Rattus norvegicus: one gene and its partners. The protein of the gene in region 1 purifies or fractionates together with the protein of each later gene. This does not show direct contact. Links are inferred from orthologs where the notes say so. Each region holds a gene or a part of one and is shown on either strand. Other genes may lie near its edges.

What was found.
Region 2: the proteins of Slc22a15 (region 1) and Vapb purify together in Homo sapiens (co-immunoprecipitation; 3 studies listed by BioGRID and IntAct, with this or other methods). This does not show direct contact. The link is inferred for Rattus norvegicus from reciprocal best matches to the Homo sapiens genes SLC22A15 and VAPB.
Region 3: the proteins of Slc22a15 (region 1) and Vapa purify together in Homo sapiens (co-immunoprecipitation; 3 studies listed by BioGRID and IntAct, with this or other methods). This does not show direct contact. The link is inferred for Rattus norvegicus from reciprocal best matches to the Homo sapiens genes SLC22A15 and VAPA.

The regions. Positions count from the first base shown.
Region 1 is NC_086020.1:191,986,896-191,994,487, reverse strand, and holds the end of Slc22a15 (solute carrier family 22 member 15), read left to right. Parts: intron 1-1,921; coding exon 1,922-2,042; intron 2,043-3,524; coding exon 3,525-3,597; intron 3,598-5,033; coding exon 5,034-5,222; intron 5,223-5,522; coding exon 5,523-5,615; 3' UTR 5,616-7,079; downstream 7,080-7,592. UniProt on the Homo sapiens protein: Organic zwitterion/cation transporter with apparent specificity for amino acids and their derivatives. Has low affinity for its substrates and may regulate their flux across the plasma membrane at high substrate concentrations.
Region 2 is NC_086021.1:182,973,359-182,980,950, forward strand, and holds part of Vapb (vesicle-associated membrane protein-associated protein B), read left to right. Parts: intron 1-2,470; coding exon 2,471-2,623; intron 2,624-7,592. UniProt on the Homo sapiens protein: Endoplasmic reticulum (ER)-anchored protein that mediates the formation of contact sites between the ER and endosomes via interaction with FFAT motif-containing proteins such as STARD3 or WDR44.
Region 3 is NC_086027.1:112,649,427-112,657,601, reverse strand, and holds the start of Vapa (vesicle-associated membrane protein-associated protein A), read left to right. Parts: upstream 1-2,870; 5' UTR 2,871-3,101; coding exon 3,102-3,180; intron 3,181-3,379; exon of another isoform or gene 3,380-3,576; intron 3,577-5,758; exon of another isoform or gene 5,759-5,968; coding exon of another isoform or gene 5,969-5,993; intron 5,994-8,175. UniProt on the Homo sapiens protein: Endoplasmic reticulum (ER)-anchored protein that mediates the formation of contact sites between the ER and endosomes via interaction with FFAT motif-containing proteins such as STARD3 or WDR44.

The DNA of each region.
Region 1 (7,592 bases):
ATCGTCTCTCCTGTTAGTAAAGATGTAGAGTGCCTTCCTGTGGTTTTGAAAGATGCCACTGTGCACAGGGCAGGGCGTGAGGGAAATCCACCGCTACCAAAAGCCATTTGTAGTTAAAAGGCAACACGCCTCAAGAGAAAGAAGAGATATTTTATTCTTGAGCCAAATAGTACCGATTGTGTGAAGGACCCTATATAGATCCAGGGTGCCCGGGATAACATGTTCTGATAAGGAAGCATCTGCTAGCCACAGAATGAGAGACGTCATAAACATGTCCCCACCAATTGCGTTTGTGGGGTGCTGCAGGCGGATGGGTTGGAACAAACTTATCCAAACAACAGTTGTGTTGTGGGCTTCAGATGCTCTCTGGTTGTAGTCCTGTCCTTGGAGTTGGTGGAAGACGTGGCACATTTCCAAGGGCTTTGTTTTATAGTAGACACTTTGATAGATCAAGCACAGGGGCGGGGCAGGGGGCGCTAAGAAAGCCTGATGGCAGAACTATGATCCACATCATTCTAACTCTTCAGGAATGCCTAGAGTCTTCAGCGTAGGTGTCTCGATCGTTTGGTTTTGAGGAAACTTCAGTTTACACAAATAGTTTTGTTTTCATCCCTGCTACTCAATACTTTTTCCTGATTCAGTTTTCTAGAAAATAGTGGAGAGGCTCACATATCCTAATTATTGGTTGAAATGGTGAAGTGAATAATCTAGTTAAATTGTTAGTAGAGGAAGTGAGATCAGGGTCCTAGAAACATGCCTTGGAGCAAATGCTGGGAGGCATGGACTCTTTCTAGAGAGACCTTGTAGCTTAAATATATATATCACTTAAACCAGCAGCCATGGTCATCCCCAAATATCTTGGCAGCACTGAATGTCATCCTAGATGTTTAAGATGCCTGTTCATGGTCTCCTGACACCATGTTAAAGTAGACGAACATGGTTTTGGACTGGGGATGGGATATGCCCTCCTCACTGGCAATTGAGGTAGCATGAACACAGACTCTTCCCACCACGTTCATGCCAGCTAGAGTCCCAGTGCCTCTTAGTTCAGTAGATACTTAGTAATCAGCGGTGTGCCCTATCCCACAGGGAATTCTGGGTCAGACAGGAATAAATAGGACACCAACCTTAGCATAGAATACCTTGAAATACACTCTTGCAAACAAGACGGAAAGTGGGTAACAAGAGAGCGCCCGAGGCATGCTGGTCGGTGGGCTGGGAGGAAGAGGCAGCGGTTATACGGAGGAGCAGCGGGAGGAGCAGCATCACTGAGATATTAAGGGAAGAGGGGCTCATGAGCTGTGTGGTCCCAAGGAGGGGACAAGGTCTTCTGCTTGGCATAAGTGTCACTAAGAGAGGCAATTACATCTGAGATTGGGACAGTGCTGCTGGCCCTTGGGGACTTTGAGGAGAGGCAGGGAGTCAGCTGGGTGCTGGGAGTTGGAGAGGAAGATCAGTGGCAAGGCTGATGGTAACTGTAGGAGGCACAGAAAGCTTGAGACCTGTTTTCTCCTCACAAGGAGAAAGTTGCTATTTAGAAGGCAGAGGTGTGTGGATTTTTGAAGGAAGAGATTCACTGGAGACAGATAACAACTATAGAGACCCAGAAAATAAAAGAAAGAACCACCGGATACTATTTTACTAAGAATGTGAAACTAGAATGCATTTATATTTTATTTAAACAGAATAAGAAATTCAAATCTAATTATCAGTTAATAACCCAAGCAAGAAATGGAGAAAAAACAAGTTTTTTTCCAAATTTCTTTCACCTTTTGTTCTCTTCAGAACATCGTCATATCTTCTTTCAAAAATGTCATGGGCCTATCTCTCACCACAGTGGAACACTTTGGTATTTTGAGCATTTGGTTTTGAATGGTCCACAAAGCCCGTAGACTTCACTCGTGTTGTCTCTGCTCCTCAGACACAGGTGTGTTTGCCGTGGTCAACAGCCATTCCTTGTCCCTGCTGGGAAAGCTGACCATCAGCGCTGCCTTCAACATTGTTTACATCTACACCTCTGAGCTGTACCCCACTGTCATCCGGTAAGGCTCTCTCCTGCTGCCGTACCCCATTCATGCCGTCCAGCTTTGTTAACGGTGCTGCTGTGGACGGAGATGGCCTTCCCTGCCTTTGCGTGGGCATGTGTCGCTCATGAGAGCATTCAATCTCCCATTGTCTTAGGCACTGTTCTATTGCTGTGAGCGATACCACAACCAAGACAACTCTTATGAAAGAAAGCATTTACGTGGAGGCTTGCTTACAGTTTCTGAGAGTCAGTTGTTTTAGAGGGGAAGTGAGTGGAGACTTATATAAGAAAGAACATCTTCAATCCTAATAGCCCTTCATGAGGACAAGGGCAAACCCAGATTCAGGATGGGGCTGCAGCCTCAGCTCTGCTTCCTGTGCCCTGGGCTGGTCCTCCCTGTGCCAGTCCTATGCCAGTCTCCCTAAAGAGCATTTGGAAAACCTCTGTTTCTTCAAGCAGGAGGCCTCCGAGTGCTTTCCACCTGTTGAAGTCTTTTCCCAGAAACAGCTTGCTCTGCTGGTGTCTCCTCATCCTTGTTTCTGCAACATGGGTGCCACACCGTCCATCCACACACACAGGAACGCCTTCCCATGCCAACAGAAAGGCTGAGGCAGAAGTGGAGGGCTAGCCTATCTGGAAACGGCGCCATTCTCTGATCCCTGGCTTGTTGTTCTGGGTTACCTGACAGTGTGCACACATCATTTCTATTAACATGCCTGGCTTTTAACACTTAGCTGAGTTTTTAAAAAAGTCAAAGATTTTGGCTCACAAAACCTTGGTTGTAGCTCTCTTAACTGACAGAAGAACTAAAGCTCACTCCTTCCATGAGACACACTCAGATGCTCAATCTGTTCATCTTCTGACCCATACGGCTATTGCTATCCTCATGAGACTTAAATTAATTAAAATTACAGACACTGGAGATGGTTAAGAGCACTGACTGCTCTTGAAGATGACCCAGACTCAATCCCCATCACCCACATAGCAGCTCACAACTACCTGAAAATTCAGCCCCAGGGGATCCAACACCTTTCTAACTGCAGCAGTCCCAGGCATGGCCATGATGCACATACATATAGTCAAAGCATTCATATACATAAAAATAAATACATTTTTTAAAAGTCTGTCACTGCTGAGTATGATGGCCCATATCTTCAGTTTGAAGAACTTGGGGGGAAGACAAGAGGATTGGCACAGTTCAAGACCAGCCAGGGCCAGCATAGCAAGACCTTGTTCTTAAAATAAAAGTTCCTTTCCTTATCCTCATGAGTCACATTCAAGTGATGAAAAGCCTCATGTGTCCAGTGCTGTGGCACAGGGTGATGTCATTTCAGAACTCCTTGGCCTCATAGAAAGGTCTAATGGGGCACTGTACCTTCTCCTTAGGAATTTACTATGTTGGATTCGGAATAGTCTTCCTACCCAGTATTAAAGTTGTCCCCCTGAGACTTAATGATTGTATTTATTTAATTAACTTGGTTTCTCTCCTGCCTTCTAGAAACGTTGGCCTCGGAACGTGCTCCATGTTCTCCCGAGTCGGTGGGATCATTGCTCCCTTCGTCCCCTCTCTGGTTGGTTTGTACCTCCTGTCTCTGTTCTTGGTCCTCTGCTTTGGCGACCATTTGTGCTTTGTGTAGAAAGAGATAATGAGTGATTTCGGCCAAGAGTGGCTACACAAATGCCAAGCTTGTGCCTTTCTGACACAGAGCGCCGTACTCTGTCAGGGTGGATGGACTGGGGCATTCACCCCTGGTGCATCTGACGTTTTGTTCACCTGGACTCATTGGAGGGTTTGGTGATGCCAGCATTCCCCCTCCCATCAACACTCAGAAGTCAACTAATGTGTATGATCTATGGAGTACTGGGTTCTATGCTAAGTACTTTGCACATATTACTGCATGTAACCCTCCATAGTCGCTGTAAGGGACCATAGATGTCTTAACTGGTAGACAATTATAAAATCAGGCATGAGACCTTGAGCTGTCATGACGTGTGGCAGCCATGATATTGTATTCTGAGGGTCAGTATGGCCCTTCATTATTCATTGTCCTCTGGAAGGGTCCGGGACATTTCCACATGTACACCAACAAAAACACCAAATCCTAGAACGTTTATAAAGGAGACTGAAGAGAAGGCTCGATGGTTTAGAACACACCTGTTGTTTCAAAGAAACCAAGTTTGATCCCTGGAACTGTGTCAGGCAGCCCTTGACCTCCTATAACTTCAGGGCCTCCATCACTGCCGTGGGCACCAGCACATCCGTGCACACACATGTACACAGTTAAAAATCCTGAAATAGTCTTTAGAGTATTATGTCATGAGGTATCTTATTATATAATAAAATATCATTATGTTATTACTTCTACTATGGTTTCAACACTGCCTTTAAGGACTTTTCTAGAGGATCTTGAAAAGAAATATTCTAAACGCTAGAGCCAGCTCACTGTGGTCGGGAGCCTGTGCATTGAAAGAAATCATCGACTTTCTCTGAGAATTCCCTGTGAATCTCTGAAGCAATTCCTGGTAGCACCACATTCAACTCAAATAGTTTACAAACTCTGTGTGCCACAGACCTTTTTCTTTGGATTTCTGTTCTTTTGATCTTAGGACTCTCAATGATGTCATGACAACACATCTGACCACTGCAAAGTTTATTAGCAGTAGATAGTCCATAGTTCATATGAAGAGAATGTGAAGACCAGTGTGGAGCAGACTCTGCCCTCAGGTGGAAGCCGGACTTGAGAGTTCCTAGGAGCTCTGCTGATGTGAGCCTGTCAGGCTCACAGGTGACCATGGCCATGCCTTGCCTCACACGGTTGGTCCAAGGCTTTGGCTCACTCTGTATACCCGTTTCCTGGATGGTTGTCTCAGAGCAAAGAAAACGCAGTGTGTGGTGTTCTTGTGAGAAGGGGCTGACCATACAGCAAACCTGGCAGTTCTTGGTCACAGGACTGTTGATGTCACCTGCTGAGGGGCTGATAGATTTGTTTGGCTTTTGTCTCCACAGAAGGACGTGCAGTGGTCCCTGCCCTTCATCGTGTTTGGAGCCACAGGCCTGACCTCAGGCCTCCTGAGCCTGCTCTTGCCAGAGACTCTGAACAGTCCTTTGCTGGAGACATTCTCTGATCTTCAAATGTACTCATATCGGCGGTTAGGGGAGGAAGCGCTGTCTCTACAGACCTTGGATCCTCCACAGGTAAACAGACATATGCTGTAACCATCTAGGTGCCCTGGGCTTTGATCCTCAGAACGATCTAAGACTGGGAGTTGTGGTGCACCCCTGTAAATCCAGCACTTGGGAGGTGGAGGCAGGAAGTTCTGAGGTTGATCTCAGCTCCTTAGCAGATTGAAGGCTGACTTGGTCTGCCTGGGCCCCTGTCTCAAAACAACAGTGAAATCACTCTTTGAGTGCCTGGGTGGTAATTCTCATTTGGACCTGTCGTGATGTCATTTTGCACATTTTACGGCTTCTACAAGATCTCCTTTGCCATTGCAGCCCCTGGGCAAGGCCAGCAGCTTGGGGAGCGAGAGTGAGGAAGAGGAGGAAGAGTTCTATGATGCAAATGAGGAGACACAGATGATCAAGTGAAGAGCCCGAATTCCTGCCCAGAAGCAAAGCCCCATCATTCTTAGTGCCTCGTTCAGCTTCAGCACCAGAGACTGCTCAGCCCACACTGATGCTTTCCAGACAGGAGAGGCGGTTGGAGGACAGATTCCACAAGGGAGAACTTGCTGCATGGAGAGTCGTTGTCAGGACTGAGGCTGAGCCCAGCACCGTGCCTCTGGCTGCACAGCTCAGATCCACCTTGTGTCTCATGCTGCTTCCCTTCCTCGGGACCTAAGAGCTGGTGTGCGAAACTGCTCACACTTTTACTAGGGTTAGCCAGACCTTCCCGGGATTTCACCTTCCTAGTAAGCTTCACGGGATCCCTGTCACTTGCTTCTCCCCACCAGGAATCTTCTGGTGCAGGCTGATGTGTACAGAGCTCCCAGCTTCCCCTGGGCTCATCGGCTGGTTCCCAGCTCATTGGTTGCCGGGGCTGCTTGTGCCTTTAGTCTGAGTTCATTCACTGGTGAATTCCAGAATCTGCGGAGCAGTTATCCGTCATCAGAGGACTGGCTGTGGCATGGTAGCTCCCGTTGGCACTTGCGTTGTGCAATTTTCCCAGTTCCCACTTGGAAGCAGTTGGGGAATTGTTTTTTCTTTGTGAGATTCTAGCCATCAGCAATAATTTGAAAATCATGCCCAGCCAACAACGAAACTCTACAGACTGAGGGTGGTCAGCGCGCGATGCACTAAGCACCTGTGAAATGACCTAAGAGTGAAGATTCTCAACAGTGTGCAATGAGGGATTTGCACAGCACACCAGGGTTTGAACTCTGCACTACATCAGCCTCTACTAGTGGGTTATTTTTTTCTTTTAAGAAAATGGTGAGTTTTCATTAAGTGCTTCCATGGATTTCCAAATGAATCAAAATCACACCTAATACCTATTTCTCACAGAACTTGAACACTCTCAAATAGGCATATAAGCCAGAGTCCACGTGTGGTCAATCGGTCACTTCCCGACCAGGGAAGCGGCTGTGTGTTTAGGATTTCTGTGTATGCTAATCTCTGGGGAGTAGAAAGCACACAAATGTTGAGGGAAAGGTGCTCTGTAGATGCTCCTGGAAATTGTGCAAGCCTGCATTCCTTGCCTCCAGTTATGCTCCTGGACTCCTCCATGTTGTCTCGGCTTCTACTGTATCCATCTGCTCCTCTGTTAGGTCATCTTTCCTTTATGCCCTGGCTCATGGGGGAGCTGTTTCTACCACTGTGGAGAACCCTGGCCGGCCAGGATGTGGTGAAGACCCGATAGTGACCCTGTGTCTGTCAGGAAGATGATGGAACTCCCGGCAGCATCTTGTCCCACACTCCGAAGTACGAAGTCCTGCTGCTTTCCTCTCCGGGAAAGGGAGGTCAGCTCTCCTCAGGAGAGGAAGAAAAGGGCTTCCAGAAACTCTTGGTTCTCGTCCAATAAAGTGTCTAAAATAAACCAGTAAATTTATATAATTTTTATTGGTTTGATCTCTCTTTTTGTGTTATAACCTGTAGGATTATTATTTTCAATATATTCTGATGCAAGATTGCTTCCTGCCTCAATGGTTTGTGTTCCCAAATGAAAGACATGCACACACACACACACACACACATGCACACACACACAGACACACACACAGACACACACACAGACATACACATACACGCACACACACATACACACACACACACACACACGCACACACACAGCCTTTATAATTTAATTGCCTTGTGTAGCACAATAGCTGGGCAACTGCTGTTAGAGTCTACTTCCCACTGATGATTCCGAATTACTACTTACTTATTTCTATGCTCCATCTTGGCTGCTCCTGACCCAATTGAGAGCCCTCTGGGCCGCTCTCTCCCAGCCCCTTTACATGGTGGCTCTGCCTCTCTGTCCTGCATTCTCAAGCCTGGCTTCTCTCCTCTTCTTCCTCCTCGAGGCTCCTAGCCCTGGAAACCTAAAACCCCTCTTTCCCTTCTTCC
Region 2 (7,592 bases), on another chromosome or scaffold:
TTGTATTGTAGATTGACTTAGAATTTGCCGTGTTACAAAAGATGATCTTCAACTTCTGTTCCTGCTTCCACCTTCCCAAATGCAGGAAGATAGGCATGACCCACTGTGCCTGGCCCTTTTGCCATAGACCTATTGATGCTGGCAACGGGCCCTTTCATGAGTGACTTTCTCTCCTCAGAACTCCCTGGCTGCCTGAAAGTCCACACTTGCAGGGCAGGCTTTGGTGTGTTTTATGAAATACAAGCTTGCAAGTTGTACCCATGCAGGCCTGCAGGGCTTACCACTTTCTTTGGCCCTAGGAAAGCAGAGCTGTTTTTAGCTCTCTTTTTATAGCCTGTGCTTACTGAAGTGATCCCCACCTTAAGTAAAGGGGTATCAGCCTTTCCATCTTGCCATGAGTCAGCCTACATGCAGTGTAGGTGGGATAGGGTAGAATTCCCGAGAGCTGCTACCCCAGGCGCCCCTGGACAATCTCATCGCCCAGTGTCTCATTTCTCTCTGGAGGCCAAGAACTTGTTGCCTCCAGCATCTAGCACTCCCTCCCTGTGGCTGCAAACCCTTTGGCCACAGTCTAGCTGTCTCCCATGCTTTCCCAGCTGGGGGAGGGGTTGGTTTGCAGTGGAATCAGTTCTAGATGCAGCTACATTCTGGATCCTTCAGGAAGTCCTCTCTCCTGGCCTCAGCCTGGTTCCTAGAGGACCAGAGCCAGGCTTCTTGAAAGATAGGTAGCTGGAGGAGACCCCCTCCAGGTGTTCAAATGTCCACAGTGCTGTCCCTGGTATGAGAAGAGCTTCTGGATAAATGATTGCCCAATGCTGGGTGATGTGGCCATCTTACCACATGTCCTGCAGTGCATGCGTGCATCCCTGCGGGCAGAGAGAGGCAGCCACAGGCCCAGTAGGGAGGGTGGAGTAGCAGGTACCTATCACCGAGTTGCCCCTACCCCCAGTTCCTGCATGGAGATGGCACCAGGCTTCCATTTCGAGGTTGTATGTATGACTAGTGACCACTGTGCGAAGGAGCCAAGCTGAGCAGCCATGTTGGGAGTGCTCGTGTTTGGCACAGTGAGGTTGCAGGCACAGACTGTCTGGGGTCCTTACGGATAAGATTGTGCATTGGCAAACGTGGGGATTGTCTTACGCTCATTGTCCCCGGTGTGCACATCTGTTCTGTGTGGACCACTCAGTGCTTCCCTGGAGCTCTACTGGGTGCCATGGGCTTCCTTCCCCTCAGCCACCATTTGTGTTTAAGCTAAGCTTTAATTCAGTGGATATTTCATACTCTGAGTACCTCAGAGGAAGCCTGCCTGAGGCACTCATTTTTCTAGAAATGACTGGTGAGTGGCTTTTTTTTTCTTGGTGCAAGTGTCTGGAGACCTTTACTGAGTCCAGACACAGGGCTGGGGGCTCAGATGGACAAAGGATAATCCTGCCCTCGGCAGCCGAGAGTCACTCACTGCAAGCATTTAGAACACACCATCGAGTGTCTGTTGGGTCTTCTGAGATGTGACAGGTGAGCTGTAGATATTCTTTGTAACCACGGAAACAGAGTCCCCCTCCCCTGCTTGCTTGTAGCTCTGAAGGCGGAGGGGAGGGGAAAGCCTGCCTATCGGAAACAAAGGTGGGCCACTCCTGTTGACAGTAGGTGAACATGAAGTGGTGTGGGCCTGGGCATGTAGCTCAGAGACTGGGTCTGTGCACAGGTCCCCGGGTTAGCTCCATAGCTACACACAGTCGTCAGCGTACACACGCATGCACACATGATGAGAGAAAGCGGTCTTGCAGTTCACCTTTCCCCAGTTGACTCCTAAGAGGCTCAGTGATTAGATGTCCACTTGCTCCGGTGTAGATGAGTGGATGTGAGACAGTTGTGTGGTGTGTACCCTTGTGCATTGCTACTAAGTCTAGCTGGTTAGACAAGCTCCACATGGTTAATATTAGTTACCTCAGGCACAAGGGAAATCTTATTAACTTCTCTTTATACATCTTTCACTGTTTGTTTTAAGAAGCATGTTTTTACTTTTTAATTAAAAAAATCTAATAAAGCAGGAAATGAATACATAATAGTGATGAAACAGCCCAGGGCCATGGAACGAGACTCCATGGGGCACGGAACGTGGCTCCAGGCTTCTTGGGTACCTTGGTGCTTAGAGCTGCTAGCAGGGCTCTGAATGAAGTCGGCTGCCCTTGCAGACACACTGGTAGGAGTTTTCCTGTCTACAGAATCGCATCCTCCCAGAGTCTACCTGACACCTGACACTCTGCCCTTCATAGTCACTGGGGATCCATGCCTGGTCCTTTGTACAGTTTCTGCCGGATTCCACTGTGGTTCTGTGGAAGCAAGTGTTGATCATGAGTGACTGTTGTAGGATTCATTGTGTCTAGGTCCTTTCACTTCTCAGAGGTCTCCTGTCTTCCTGAGCTCCTACTTTCCTCACAGGACACCAACCATTTTCTGTCTCTCCACGTAGGTCCCTTCACTGATGTTGTCACTACCAACCTAAAGCTGGGCAACCCGACAGACCGGAACGTGTGTTTCAAAGTGAAGACCACAGCGCCGCGCAGGTACTGCGTGCGGCCCAACAGTGGGGTCATTGATGCCGGGGCCTCTCTCAATGTGTCTGGTAAGTCCCAAACCGAGAGGTCATGGGTGGGGTCCAGAAGCCCCAGAGCCATCGAGCCTGGTCAGAATGGGTAGTCCAGGGTAGTCCAGGAAGCTACAGATTTCTCTCCTCCTGTCCTGTCTCACCTCGGGTACCACACTGGGTACCTGATCACCTCTGACTTTCCGTAATTCATGTCTCCAGGCCTCTGTACCTTAGTAGCCAGTGCAGAATTAAGTGGCGGCTGTAGATCTGGCTGGAGAGCAGGGCCTTCGTTCCTTTGGAACTAAGTTTGCACCTCGACAAATCAGAGGGACTGAATAACAAGTCTGCTTTGTGGGGAATGCTGATAGCATTGTTTTCTTAATACTAAATGCTTTCTGATGTTGCTCATGCCATCTAGTAACTGGGGGTCTACTTTGCCCCCTGAAAGCTGAGGAGGTAGGGCTGCAAAGGTGCCAGGCAAGCCGTGGGCCCTGTTTGTGCTGACGCCCCCCTCTCTAGGAGGCTGCATACATTTTTCCAAGGCTGCACTGCTGAAAAGATGCTGCTAAATCCAGATTAAGACATGCGATTGAGAACTAAGGAAGTCTGAGAGACATTAGGGTTTGCATGTATCTAGAAACTGGTGGACTTGTAGCTCATTAGAACTGGTGAGTAATGCTCAGAGGAGCTGTGGGGGAGTGCGTGTCCTTTAGACACTGATGACTCAGTGTCCCTGGCTTCGGCATCATTAGAGGCCACTTCTTGTTTGAAGCGAGTGCCTGTCTGCGTCTTTCCACGGTGGAGTTTGATTGGATACATTTGGATTCATTTGACACCTAAAAGAAAATGATTCACCTCTTTGGAAAGATACAAGGTGTTTCATTATCTCAGACTCTGACTCCTCGCCTCTGTTGGTGCCTCTCATTATGGAGCACCTGCCCCAGCTCCCCCTGTGTGCTTCTCTCTGAGTCTGCAAGGCCGGGCCTGGACTCGTGAGTCAGATTTTAGGTCAGGAGCAGTTAGCTGGTAGCCAGTCCTGTAGAAGAGCTCCTACTGCCGGGCCCCTTGTTGTACGCTGTGCAGGACACATTGTCCCACCTATTTTGTGTCCATTTTCAATCACGGAGTGGTGTGTGACAGCCTGTACTCTGGGTCTGGCCTGCTGGGAATAGGGAGTGGTCAGGATGCAGTAGCTGATTCCTCTGAGTGCCGTAAGATTTTTGCTGAGATGAGGGCAGCTGGATTCTTATACCCTGACCCCCTTTGTGTGGGGCCAGAGGGCCTTGTGTTGAGCTGTCTAAGCCGCCTTCTTTCTTTAACCACCATCTGCCAGTCTCTATTGTTTACACATTTCAGAAAATTTGAGTTTATTAGCAGATGAAAATCACCAATTTTCATATGAATCAGGCAGCCTGGTTATCTGAATAAAATAATCTGAGCAGGTAGTTGTGTAGTGTAGGTGTGCCTTCTCATGAATGTTACAGATGATATGTGGCTTGAGTATGTGTGCATGTGTGTGTGCCTGAGTGCCAGTGTGTGTGCATGTGTGTGTCTGCCTGTGTGTGCATTTGTGTATCTTTCATTAGGATCAAGTCCTTTCCTGCCACAGGAGTGTTCTGACTGATCAGTGGCTCCTTGTCGAAGGCAGCTTTTGTGTTGAGTCTTCCCTCTGCAGATTAGAAAATAAAGAGCCAGTATGGACGTGCTCCTTCCCTGTCACATGGTCTTTATCATGTGACCATCAGCCATTTGCGTTAGAGGCAGATATTCTTTTGTGGTTCTGTGCTGCTGCCTCGCCAGTCAGGGGTTGGCTGCCTGAGAATGAGTCTGAAGTGCAGTGCATCACAGGGTCGTGGAGACAGGAGGAATGACTGAATAAAGAATGTTTTTGTAGCTTTCCCCTGCTGAGGTGGGAAGGCACGTGGGAAGAATTGCTGTGGAGGCCCTGTCTGTTGGTGGTGGTCTAGTGGGACCAGGAGAGTGGTACAGCCCGTTCAGTCTTGGGTGTACAAATGTCACACTTTACACGTGTACATGTCAGGTTGGGAAGCACTGTGTCTGTCCAGGCCTGTTCCTTGAGGAATGCCACTATGGGGGTGACAACATGGTGAGCCAGAGTCCCCGAAGAGGACAGGTACACAGGAGAACACCGTCCTCAGTATGCTCACTCCCACTTACGGCTCTCGGAGCCGTTAGGAAACCTAAGTGTGAGTGATCGCCTGTGCACACTCTGCTGTTGCCACTGTACATGCACAAAGCCAGCCAGTCCTGAGTGGGAACAAGCTGTGTACTGTTTGCATTGCCTTAAAAAAAGCAAAGGAATTCTATGCATTTTTACATGTGTGGCCTCTGTGACCTAAAGCAGGTGTGTGTATGAGTAAATTGTCACATGTAATTTACAAAATGTTGACCATCAAATGAACTTGAACTGCATTTGCATGGTTCTGCTTAGAACCTGCAGTGTCACAGGATACCTGGAAAGGACAGGGCTAGTGTGTCCCTGCATTTCTGAAGACCCCTGGGAGGTGCTAGCTATTAGATGAGGCTATAAATCACTCCTATAAGAGGCTGGGGGAGGAAGGGAAAGAGCAGGAGTGAGGAGGTGGGAGTGAGGGGCTGGAGTAGGGGGTGGGGCTGGCCCTTGAAAGGCATTGTCTTTTGCACTGCATCGTGGCTGTGCAGGCCTGGGTAGGGTTCCCCACCACACCGTGCAGTGCTTTGCTTACCTTCCCAGTGAACCTGACGCTGGGGGCCTAAGTCACACTTCAGCAGCTCAGCCTCTGACCTGTGCTGCTTCCTTCAGAGGACAGCAAGTGCCGAGCTGGGCCTGCACCGTGGCTCTGCACCGTGGCAGCACAGACATGTGGAGATGAACCTGCAGGGAGAAAGGAGACTTCCCAGAGGACATGAGGAGGGGCGAGCCTCTGCTTTCATCACTCCTGGGGGTCTGGGGCAGCCCTCTAGCTTTACAGAACTAAGTAGCTTTCAAACCGTATGGTAGGGAAATATTTTTTTAAGGCGTGCAATTTCTGAAGATGTCTTCATAGAAGGCTGTTAGCCATGGCGGGTCTTGTTTTTAATGATGCAGTTTAATAATAAGGGACTTCTCCATTAATATTCCAAACCATGTTGGCTTGCACGCACAGCAGGTGAAGAGGGAGAATTATGGGCCCATCAAAAATACTTAGGCTTCCTGTAATATGGCATTAAGTTTAGTATTTGTATAACCTCTGTGAATTCTAATCCCACGAAGTGGTGAGCTTTCATTTGCAGTTCAGTTGTGCTCACTGACTGTCCCTGTGCCAAATGCATTACACATGCAGAGTGTCCACAGGACCCGGGCAGTCATTAAAGACACCAAGTATCCACAAACGGTTCACTTTACTCAGTGTGCCCTGCCATCAAAGGTGGATTAAAGCCAAACGTAGGTCTCCCAGTATCTGAGCCTGTGTTTTGAAGTGGAATTCGGAGCAGAGGGGGCACTCTGGTTCCTGACAATCCCTTCAGGACTCTAATTATATTTAGATAGTAAGTTCTTCCAATGTCGTGCTGAGGATAGGGTGAGTATCAGCAGCCCGTGGGATGGAGACACTGGTCAGTTAACGTAAGTGGTAGTATTGTAATTGATAATTAATCCGTTTACAACGGCTCTGGCCTGGGTGCACGTTACTGTTCCCTGGCACTGGACCAGGCAGCTGTGGGCTGCAGCGTTCAGGTGTTGAGCCTCAGGGTACAAGTGTACTTAACCTGCTGACAAAGAAGCCTGGCATTTGTCTTCCAGTGTGGACAGAGGGGCTACCGTGGGGACTTCCAAGAGCAGTGCCCTTCCTTGGATCTGCTCCTTGCTTTGGAAGGCTCTGATGAGTAAGTGGATGTTGACTGGATAGTCTCCATGAGCTCCTCACTGCCCCAGATAGATCAGTTGAGTGAGATCAGTCTCTAATCTTTTCACCAGATTAGATTACCGTTTAAACTATTTTACCAACAAAAACTCATCTTAATTGTGCTTACAGCCTTTCAGATCTTGCTGTGGGATGTAGGCTTCTTAGGAAGACCGTTCCCATCTTTTTATGAATGTGACCTAAGGGCCTGCCCTAGAAGACTGGTCAGGAGATACTTAGCTAAAAGGTACCTTTTGGCTTTGCAGGGTGAGCGGGGACTATAGTCGATAAAATTTGGTGCAGCAGAAGTGCTGAAAGTCCCTGTCTGTCTCTGTAAGTGGTGCCTTCGGCTCCCCTTGCAGTCCTGTCCTCCCGTTTGTAACGTCACTGGCAGCTCATTGCAGAAGGAAGGGAGAGGAGGAGGTAGTTGCGAGGGTCCCACCCACCAGCACTCAGAAAGCCGGCACAGGCACTTCCCCTGCTTCAGGGCACACGGGTCTCAGTGGCAGTTCTCAGAGGTTGGGCTCACAGGTCTCCCTGACATCAGCTAACACTTGATGGGGCACAGGAAGAGAGGCCAGGCTGTGTTCTGCGGTTAGTTACGTGAGAAACATCCAGCATAGTACAAGCCTTTGTGAGGAAGGGCGAGTGGCCTTGCTGTGGGCACACAGCCTGTTGCACGTCTCCCTTCTGTTGATCCTGAAGAAAGGCTGAGGGCTGCACTGTGGTCCATGCACAAACAGACGGAGAGGCAGCCAGGTGTTTGTTACTTGAGCTGGGCACATGAGCCACAGAGGCCCACAGAGAACACAGGTAACGCAGCAGCGTTCTTATAACTGGGGGAAGTTAATTATGTATCTGCTCGGTTTGAGTAGTAGAGGCCCAGGCAAGTAGTCACGGTGGCCCCTGAAGGAAATAATTAATTTACTCGTGCGAGAGCTCGGGGTCAACTGCAATGTCTACCCAGTTGTCTCAGGCTCGCAGTCCACCAGCCACGATGATCACCCTAGCTGTAAGAAGCTCACGGTCGTCTTCTGTTGTTTAAAGAGGGCAGTGGTCCCAGCGTTGCTGCAAATGCATGGAGTAGGCAGATCATGCTCTGACCTGTGAGCTGTGAAAGGTGG
Region 3 (8,175 bases), on another chromosome or scaffold:
TTTTTAGTGACACTAAGAAGCATTTGATTTCAGTGGTAAATAATGTAAATAGGGAAAAAGTTTCTGTAACTCACCCAGTTCAGGGTTCACATGGTGAGTGGACAATCACAGTCTCATGTTGCTGGGAATTTCTACATGCTCTCCTATTGACTGGCTGTTGGCACACTGAGGATGCCTATGCTTTCTAGTAAGAGGTGTTTAACCAGCTGTGAAGTGGTTGTTTAGCTATGGAGCCTGTCCATAGAACAGTTCTTAGGCAAACATGATATTGGAGTTTGTCAGGACTCTTGGATTTTCAATTCAGAATGAAATAGATGTGCGACACTATCCTATGGACTGGTTATCATACACATTTTTTTTAAAAAATAAAACCCACAAGCTATCTTTCAAACTGTATATACTTTTGTATTCTAAAAATTGACATTTCAAAATAATTTTTGCGGACAAAAAGAATTCAAAGTATAAGTAAATTAGCATTTGCTTTTAAAACAATTTAAGCACTTCTATCTTACCAGGTTCTTCATGACTGAAGATCTATGCCTTACGTTTGGCACTGGATGGTGGTGGGGTAGGAGTGTAGACCCTCAAGTTCTTAAACTGTGGGTTTTGTGTAACTGACTGTGGGGGTTTGGAAAAGTTTGACAACAGCAAAAGGTTTCTGAATGTGCAACAATCAAATAGAAATCAAAATCGAATGAGTAGTGCAATCGGATTTGTGTAGGAGTTCATCCATGTTGGACTGTGGGTTATCACTTCAGCCTTGGTTCTGAACACGTCATGTGCACTTTGTTCTGTGTATGTAATCTTTGAAACGCCTTGGCCCAGATGTGAGATTTCTGTCTTATGAATTGCAGTGGTTTTTTTTTTTTAAATTGTAGTTTTCTAGTCTTGTAAAAGCAAAGATTATTTTTAATTATGTATACTTAAGGGTCTGTGCACCTGAGCGCAAGTGCCCCCAGGAGGCCAGAGGCATTGGCTGTTCCTGGAGTTGGGAGTTACAGGCAGATGAGAGCAGTCTGCTGTGGGTGCTGCCAAAGTCTTCTGCAAGAGCATCGTGTACTTTCAACTGCTCAGCCATCCTTTCTGCTCCTAGATTTCTACTCTTAAAAGACATAGTAGCTTAAGGAAAAAATATAATATTTTCCTATTATTGCTTCTTAGCACGTGTCAAATTTATACATTTTTGGATTGTATTGTTAGAATCTTTGATTTTAAAAATTGCAGTTTGGGTTACTGACTTGCATTTCATTAAAAAAAAATCACACAAAAAATTTGGCTGGTGATTGGGATAGAATTTCCAACTATTTTTGAAATGTTTCCAAACCTAACTTTTTTTTTTTTTTTTGCCACTTTGCACTAGGTATTTATATAAAACCGATTCTCAGCATTGGTAATTAGAAAATCAAAATAGCAATCAACTACAAAAAAGTTGAAAATGTTTAGTCTATCAAATATTCAGCCAGGAATAATTTTTATGTAGGAATGGACACGCAAACCTATCTCGTTTGTATACAAGCTAGCTTTTGTCTTAAATGTGTAAGTTTTTTCATCTTTTTTTCTTTCAAACTTCATTTTTAGGTTAGGATACAAAGTAAGCATTCAAAGAAGGAAAACAAACTTTTTTTTGTGATCAATGTTTTATACCACAATTTTATATCCTATATACCCAGGGTGGCATAAAAATTTCTCAGGTGACGGGACGGAGAGTTGAAAAAGTTTAATTAGCTGTATTCTAGACTGCCCATTTTCGACATTTACTTTCCAGACAGTCTAGGATGCCTTTCCGTGGCAGAAGCATCAATACGTGCTTTGTTTCGCACGGAGCTTCCTAGAGATTTAAATTCAAGCAGTACCATAGGACACAATAAAGGTTTATTTTTACAGCACATCCATTTGTTTTGTTTGCTCTTCCCGTCCCTGGATACCCTGGCAATGAGCTGAATATCTGTCAGCAATTTGCTTGGCAATTTTTCTCATTTGGTATAGGCTCTCCTAAGTGATGCAGATAAAATTCGTCCCTAGCACGGCACGAGAACCAGGCAAACAGATTTGGAATGAGCCACACTGTAGATACAGCACGTGAATTCCACGCCGTAGGAGCAGACATTTGGTTTCTACCCTTGATTATTTGTGCCTGGCCTAGATTTCCCCTGGAACCCGTTTGCTTTTGCGCGAGGTGTGTTTCCCTTTGCTGGGCAGGAGGGAGATCCGGGAGGCAGCTTTGGAACGGCAGGGTTAGAACAGAGCGCGCGTCCGCAGAGGGCGGAAGGAATCCCGGGCAGACCAGACGGACACGCCCTGCCGCTTTCCCAAAGGGCCGTCTCTCCTGGGATGCCTGGCTCCCAGGCAGCCTGCAAAAACCCTTTTCTTTTTCCAATGCAGACGAGACAACCTCGGCGAGCCAAAAGCAGAGTCAGCGGCCCCACCCACTCGCCTCCAACGGACCCGGGTTGCCTTCCCGGTTCCCAGCAGCCCCCGCGGAGACGCCGCCCGCACGGGGCATGCTGGGAGTCGAGGTACCCGGCACTTCTTGACTGTCTTCCGTTCGGAATTCCACTTGGAACGCTGTGAGGTAGCATCGTAGTCGGCGCTACAGCCCCGCATTCGCAGCTCCAGGGCGCCAAGAACGACGCCCCTCGCCCGGCGCCGCGCACCCCGTCTCCCACAAACAGCCCTACTACGCCCCCTGCACGCTCTACAGAGATTGACAGCAGCGCGGCGCAGGGAGCTGCGGCCAAGTCGGAGGTGCGCAGGCGCACTAGCTCAGCGCCGAGCCCAGTTAGGCCCGGAGGGCGGGGCCAACACGAGGGCTCTGGGCCGCGGGGGCGCGCACGGAGACACGTAAGGCCGTCACGTGGGGAGCCGAGGATCGCAGTGCGCGTGGCCGCGGCGACTGGTGTGGGGTTGAGTCAGTTGTGACACCCGGAGCTGCTGACCCGACAGGCAGCCCTCGGGACCCGCGGCCCGGCAGCAGGCGCGGAGCTTCGGGAATCGTGAGCCTGGCCCCGTCCTAGAGCTCCGCGGAGCCGGCGCCGCCACCGTCCCCCGCCCCCGCCAGCGAACCGCCGCCGCGGGCGCGCCCCCGCTCTGCGCTGTCTCCTATGGCGTCCGCCTCCGGGGCCATGGCGAAGCACGAGCAGATCCTGGTCCTCGACCCTCCTTCAGACCTCAAATTCAAAGGTAGGCTGGCTGGGACGCGCCCGAGCGGGGCTGGGGCCGGCGGGCGGCGGCGGGGTGGACGGGCTGCGCTCCCCTCCCCCACGCCCGGACCGAACGTCGGAGCCGCGGCTCCGCTGCGTCCCTCCGCTCGGCGCCTCGGCGTCCGCCGCTGCCGGGCCGGGCTGCGGAGGGGAGGGGAGGGAGCCGGACGGACGCCGCGGAGGGCTCTGCCCGGAGCCGCCGCCATCTTGCGGCCCACGGGGGCGCCGCGGGAGCCCGCCCGCGCCTTGCCCGCCCGCCCGCATGGCGTCCTTGCCCCAGGGCGGCCGCGGCGCGGTCCAGGCTGTGCGAGCCGGAGGCTGGGAGCAAGAGCTCCGGGGTCTGCGGGCGCCAGCGGGCGACGTTCCGCGCCTTTGGGTAGGCACGGCCCGCGGGCGAGGCGCTCAAGACCGCGGGCTTCGCCCGGAGTCTTCCCTGTCAGGTGCCGGACTCTGTCAAGCCGGGAGACCCAGCAGTGTCTGGCTGGGACTGACCCCGAGTGTTGGCACGGCCCCAAGCGCGCGGCAGAAAGCTGTGCGTCAGCTGGGGCATGCATGGTCGTAGGTTAATGGGAGTGGGTCCCTTGGGTCACGTCGACTCGTCCTTAGGTACGGAGGACCCAGCCCTTGTGCTCCTAGTCCTTGAGTTCACACTGTCTTTTTACTGAAGACGACTCAGGGTCTGTGACCCTCTTACGTTTGCGGTTTCCCAGCATACCCGGAGAAAGCTGATAAGGTGCCACACAGCTCTGGAACTGTTGACTTTGGAGCACTGACTGTGATAGACAATCACTGGTTTGGTGATCCTTGTTCAGATCCGAGGCCGTTTGCCTTCTCAGTGTGTAGGAAACGAAAAGTTATACAGAACAGTTTACTGCATTTTAAGGAGCTAAAAAGAACACGTGCTTCCTATCTTTAAATGAAAAGTGCCCCCCTCCCCCTTTGGAAAGTTAATACCTTGCGTTTTAATTTCAGCAACTGGTGAAAACAATTTCCCTTAAGCGCATATCGATTCCAGTAGGAAAAGAAAAAGTAAACCCATTATAGTAGTGTAAAAGTGAGTCCACATGAAAATAGCTGAATTGTCCTTGTAGGAACAATTTAAAATAGTTCCAGATACTTAAGACTTTTATATTTTAAATAGTTTAGGACTTAAACATGTGGTATTCTGCTAGTAGCATGCCCTGCAGGCGTTTCAGTACATTCACAAGTTCCTCCGTACTAGACAAGAACTTGATTGTGATTTTAAGGCAGTTTTAATATGCTTGGAATTGGGTCGTGAACCACACTTATAATCCCGGCATTTTGGAAGTTCAGGAACCACCCAAAGTTTGAAATAAACCTGGACTACATGTGAGACACTTGACAGTGTCTCACCCTCCGGTATTTCGAGTGTATTTTGCTGCAGCAAATTTCTGGTTGCTTGATTTAAGTTTTTTTGGAGGGGAGTTGGGCGGAGTTTGCTGAGAAGTCCTCAGAGTATTTGTACTGTAGTAGCCATCATTAGTGGGAGCGATTTAATATAAATCTTGACGATATTCTGTGTGGTTTGCTTTCCCCCTTTTGACAGTGTAGAGCAAATTTTCCTTACTGCATAGCCATGTGTGAAAGGTATTTTATGAGGCAGGTTTTAAAAACCACCAGAAATTGTGCTGTATTCATGTAGATCACTCATTTTTGATATTAAATAATTACAACCGTGTTTATGCAACAGGCTCTGTGTTACCAAAAATCCCAATGCTGGTGGAAAAGGCATGTAAATGATACCGGGGCAGGAGCACGTCTGAAAGAAGCTCTTTTCTGTAGGAAACTCAAGGAAAAGGCTCTTGAAGTTGCCTGGGGAAAGTCATGCAAAGGGAGTGGTTGAGTAAATCGGAGTGAGATGAGATGCATAGACTCCAGTCGGTCAGACTTGTGGAAAGGTGGGAGAGATGGATATGATAGGGAGAGGTGCAGAGGGTTGAAGTGAGGTTTGCTGCTTTTCTCCTTAGTGTTACTTTGTCAGCCAGAGGTAACTTGGTACAGTGGAAGCCTCTGTATTTCAATGCACAGCTTTACACTAAGTAGGGTGATTTAGAATCCACTGTGCATCTTTTGGTTGACCATATCAAAAATTATTTAACTGATCTTTACATGTCTTTCATTTAAGTATAGGTTGTTTATACATTTCATTTTGCAAAATTACTTGATTGTGTGCAAGGTTTATTTGAATTATTTGGATTCAACAGTGGTTTCTTCAGGAGTGACTCAGCCATTCTGAGATTGACAGTTTTTCTTTAATATGAATAATGACTTGATAAGTGTTATAACTTTGTAGTTTACTTCTCATAACTAGTAATATATATATAAGTCTCTTGATTGTAGAATAAATTCTAAAGCAGACCTTTTAGAGCATAAAAAGATTCATTAAGAAAATTTTTGGTTGCTTAAATTCTAGCAATACTTTAACCAATAATTTAGATTTGAAATTGGATATTTCACAGAAAAAACTTTTTTGTTCCTAACATTTACTATATTATAAAATTTGTTTATTGTTTTGTGTTGCATTTTACTGTTCCTAGCTGTTGACAGTATTGAACTTTGAAGAAGAAAGTTTTGCAAAAAGAGAATTCTAAGTGTGTGCTTGCTCATAATGGTCAGGGGAAAGAGGAAAACTGACTGAAATCCTTGTGTTGAGGTGGCTCTTGTTAGCACCTGAGGACTACAGAGCTGTGCTGCCACTGCCAGCAGTCACACCCCTTCTGAGACTGGGTTCTTTCATCCATCCCAGGATGGCTTTGGACTCCCTGTACAACCGTGAGGATCTTGAATTCATTTTAAAATTTAATTTTTTAAAGAGATTGATTTTCTTTGTGTAAGTCTTTTCCTGTAGGTACATGTGTATACTACTTGGGTCCTGGGTGCTTGTGGAGGCCAGAAGAGGGTGTCAGATCCTTTGGAAACGGAACAGGGGTTACAAATGGTCATTAGCTGCAATGTGGGTTCCTGGAATTGAACCTGGATCCTCAGGAAATGTTCTCAACCACTGAGCCATCTCTTCAACCACTTTTTAAACTAAAGAAAAAAAAATTTTTTTTGACAATTTTACAGACACACAGGGTAACGTGATCATCTCCACTATTTTGTTCTGCTCCACCTGACCCCTGCCTCATGCTTCCCTCCTACCTTTGTGTCTTCATTAAAAGATGAATATTTGTAATTATTTATGTGTGTCTTCATGTGGACATGAGTGTAGGATTCTCTGAAGCTGGGGTCACGGATGGTTGTGAGCTACCTGATGTGGATGCTGGAAGCTGAATTCAGGTCCTCTGAAGTAGCAGCCAGCGCTCTTCCATCTCCTCCGGCTCCCCTACCTTAAAAAGTTGACTCTGGTGTGGGAGCATAAGCAGCCTGCTAGCTGCCACCTCCCTTCCCCTAAAGAAGATTGACTCACCTTTTCTCAATAGTCGTCTGAGATAACCTCGAGCGGGTCTCTTGCATAGGTACCACAGCTGCTGTGAATTCAGAAGTGCAGTGGCCATGCCCCCAGACAACAGCATCTCATAGCACTCTTTTCTCTCCTCCTCCTCTTAGAGTCTCTTTATGTCCTCTTTGATAGTCTCTAAGCCTTGAGGGGAGTGTGGCCAGTTGGGACTGAGCATGCACTGTCACCAATCTTAGCACTTCTGAGTCCTGAATTAGTTACTGCTCATTACAAAAAGAAACTTCTCTGATAAAGGTTCAGAGCAGAACTTACGAATGGGTATAAACGTGTATGTTTAGAAGCAGATCAATAACATGAACATGTTGTAAAACAACAGTGGTCGGTTCTACCTAGGGCCTAAGATCTCCCCAGCAGCGACTGGGCTTTTAACTAGGTTTAAAAGGTATCAGTCCTTCTTGTGGATCAGGTTCCAAATACAATTAGAAACTGATTGGTTACCCCCATATTAGTCATGCCACTATTATATCAGTGGGCGTATCTTGCCTGGTAGGTTGGCATCGTAGCGTGGGGGATCCAAGGTTATCTTTTGATATCTTCTCCTAAGTGGCCTCCATAGCATCTTCCGGTACAATTAAAGATAGTAGGGAGGAAGTTTCTCAATCATTTCCAGATTGGTTCCTCTGTGCTGTGCATGTTATCTAAGACCTTGAGTTTTTGTTCTGCCTTCCTCTTCCCAATGCTGGGATTATAAATAAGCAGCACCATTCCTGAGCATCTTTGAATAGCAGCATTTCATAAGATAAGCACAAGCACTGATGAATACTACAGGTTTTTGGGGGGAGGCAATTTAGGAAATTTTACATGGTTCGAGAAGATGCTCTTATTCCACATAAACATCCAAATTCTGGGATGATCATTTCACAAACTGTCTTAAAATATAATCCTTAGCCAGTTCTTAAAAGGTGTAAGATACCGCCTTGCCCATGGGGTAAGGTTTGCTTGTTTGTCATTGTGGTAGGTATATCTTGCTATAGTAGACTGCTGTCTTTAACACCAGTGTGTCTGTATGCGCATACATGCTCTGTTCCCTGAGAAAGCTTTGTTTCTTTGAATTCTTACTGGTTAAGGTCAAATCCCTCATGACTCATTCTTAGACCATTTTCTAGCCATTTTTGTCCCTGTTTGCAGCCACTGGCTTCTCAAACCAAAGTGTTTCGTTTCAAAAGATTAAGTAAGCAGATAAGGCTAGGTTGTTTCCTAACCCTTCGTCAAGTATGTTTGTAAAGAGTGGGATGGTATGCTGGAGTGGGTGCCATAGTGGATCCAGGCTCTAGTATAGAGTTAAGTTGATTGGGAGCATGGGAAGGGGGGTTGAGAAGAGAGTAGTAGTGAGAGGGGATGAGAGAAGGAGAAAGGGGTCAGAGAGAGGGAAGAGAGGCCAAACAGTTCTTTTTATAGCCAGCCAGGACTACCTGGCTGTTGCTAGGTAACTGTTGGGCAGGCCTATAACTATCCTGGTCTTTTGTATCATTTTGCATTCAGACCTCTTGGAAA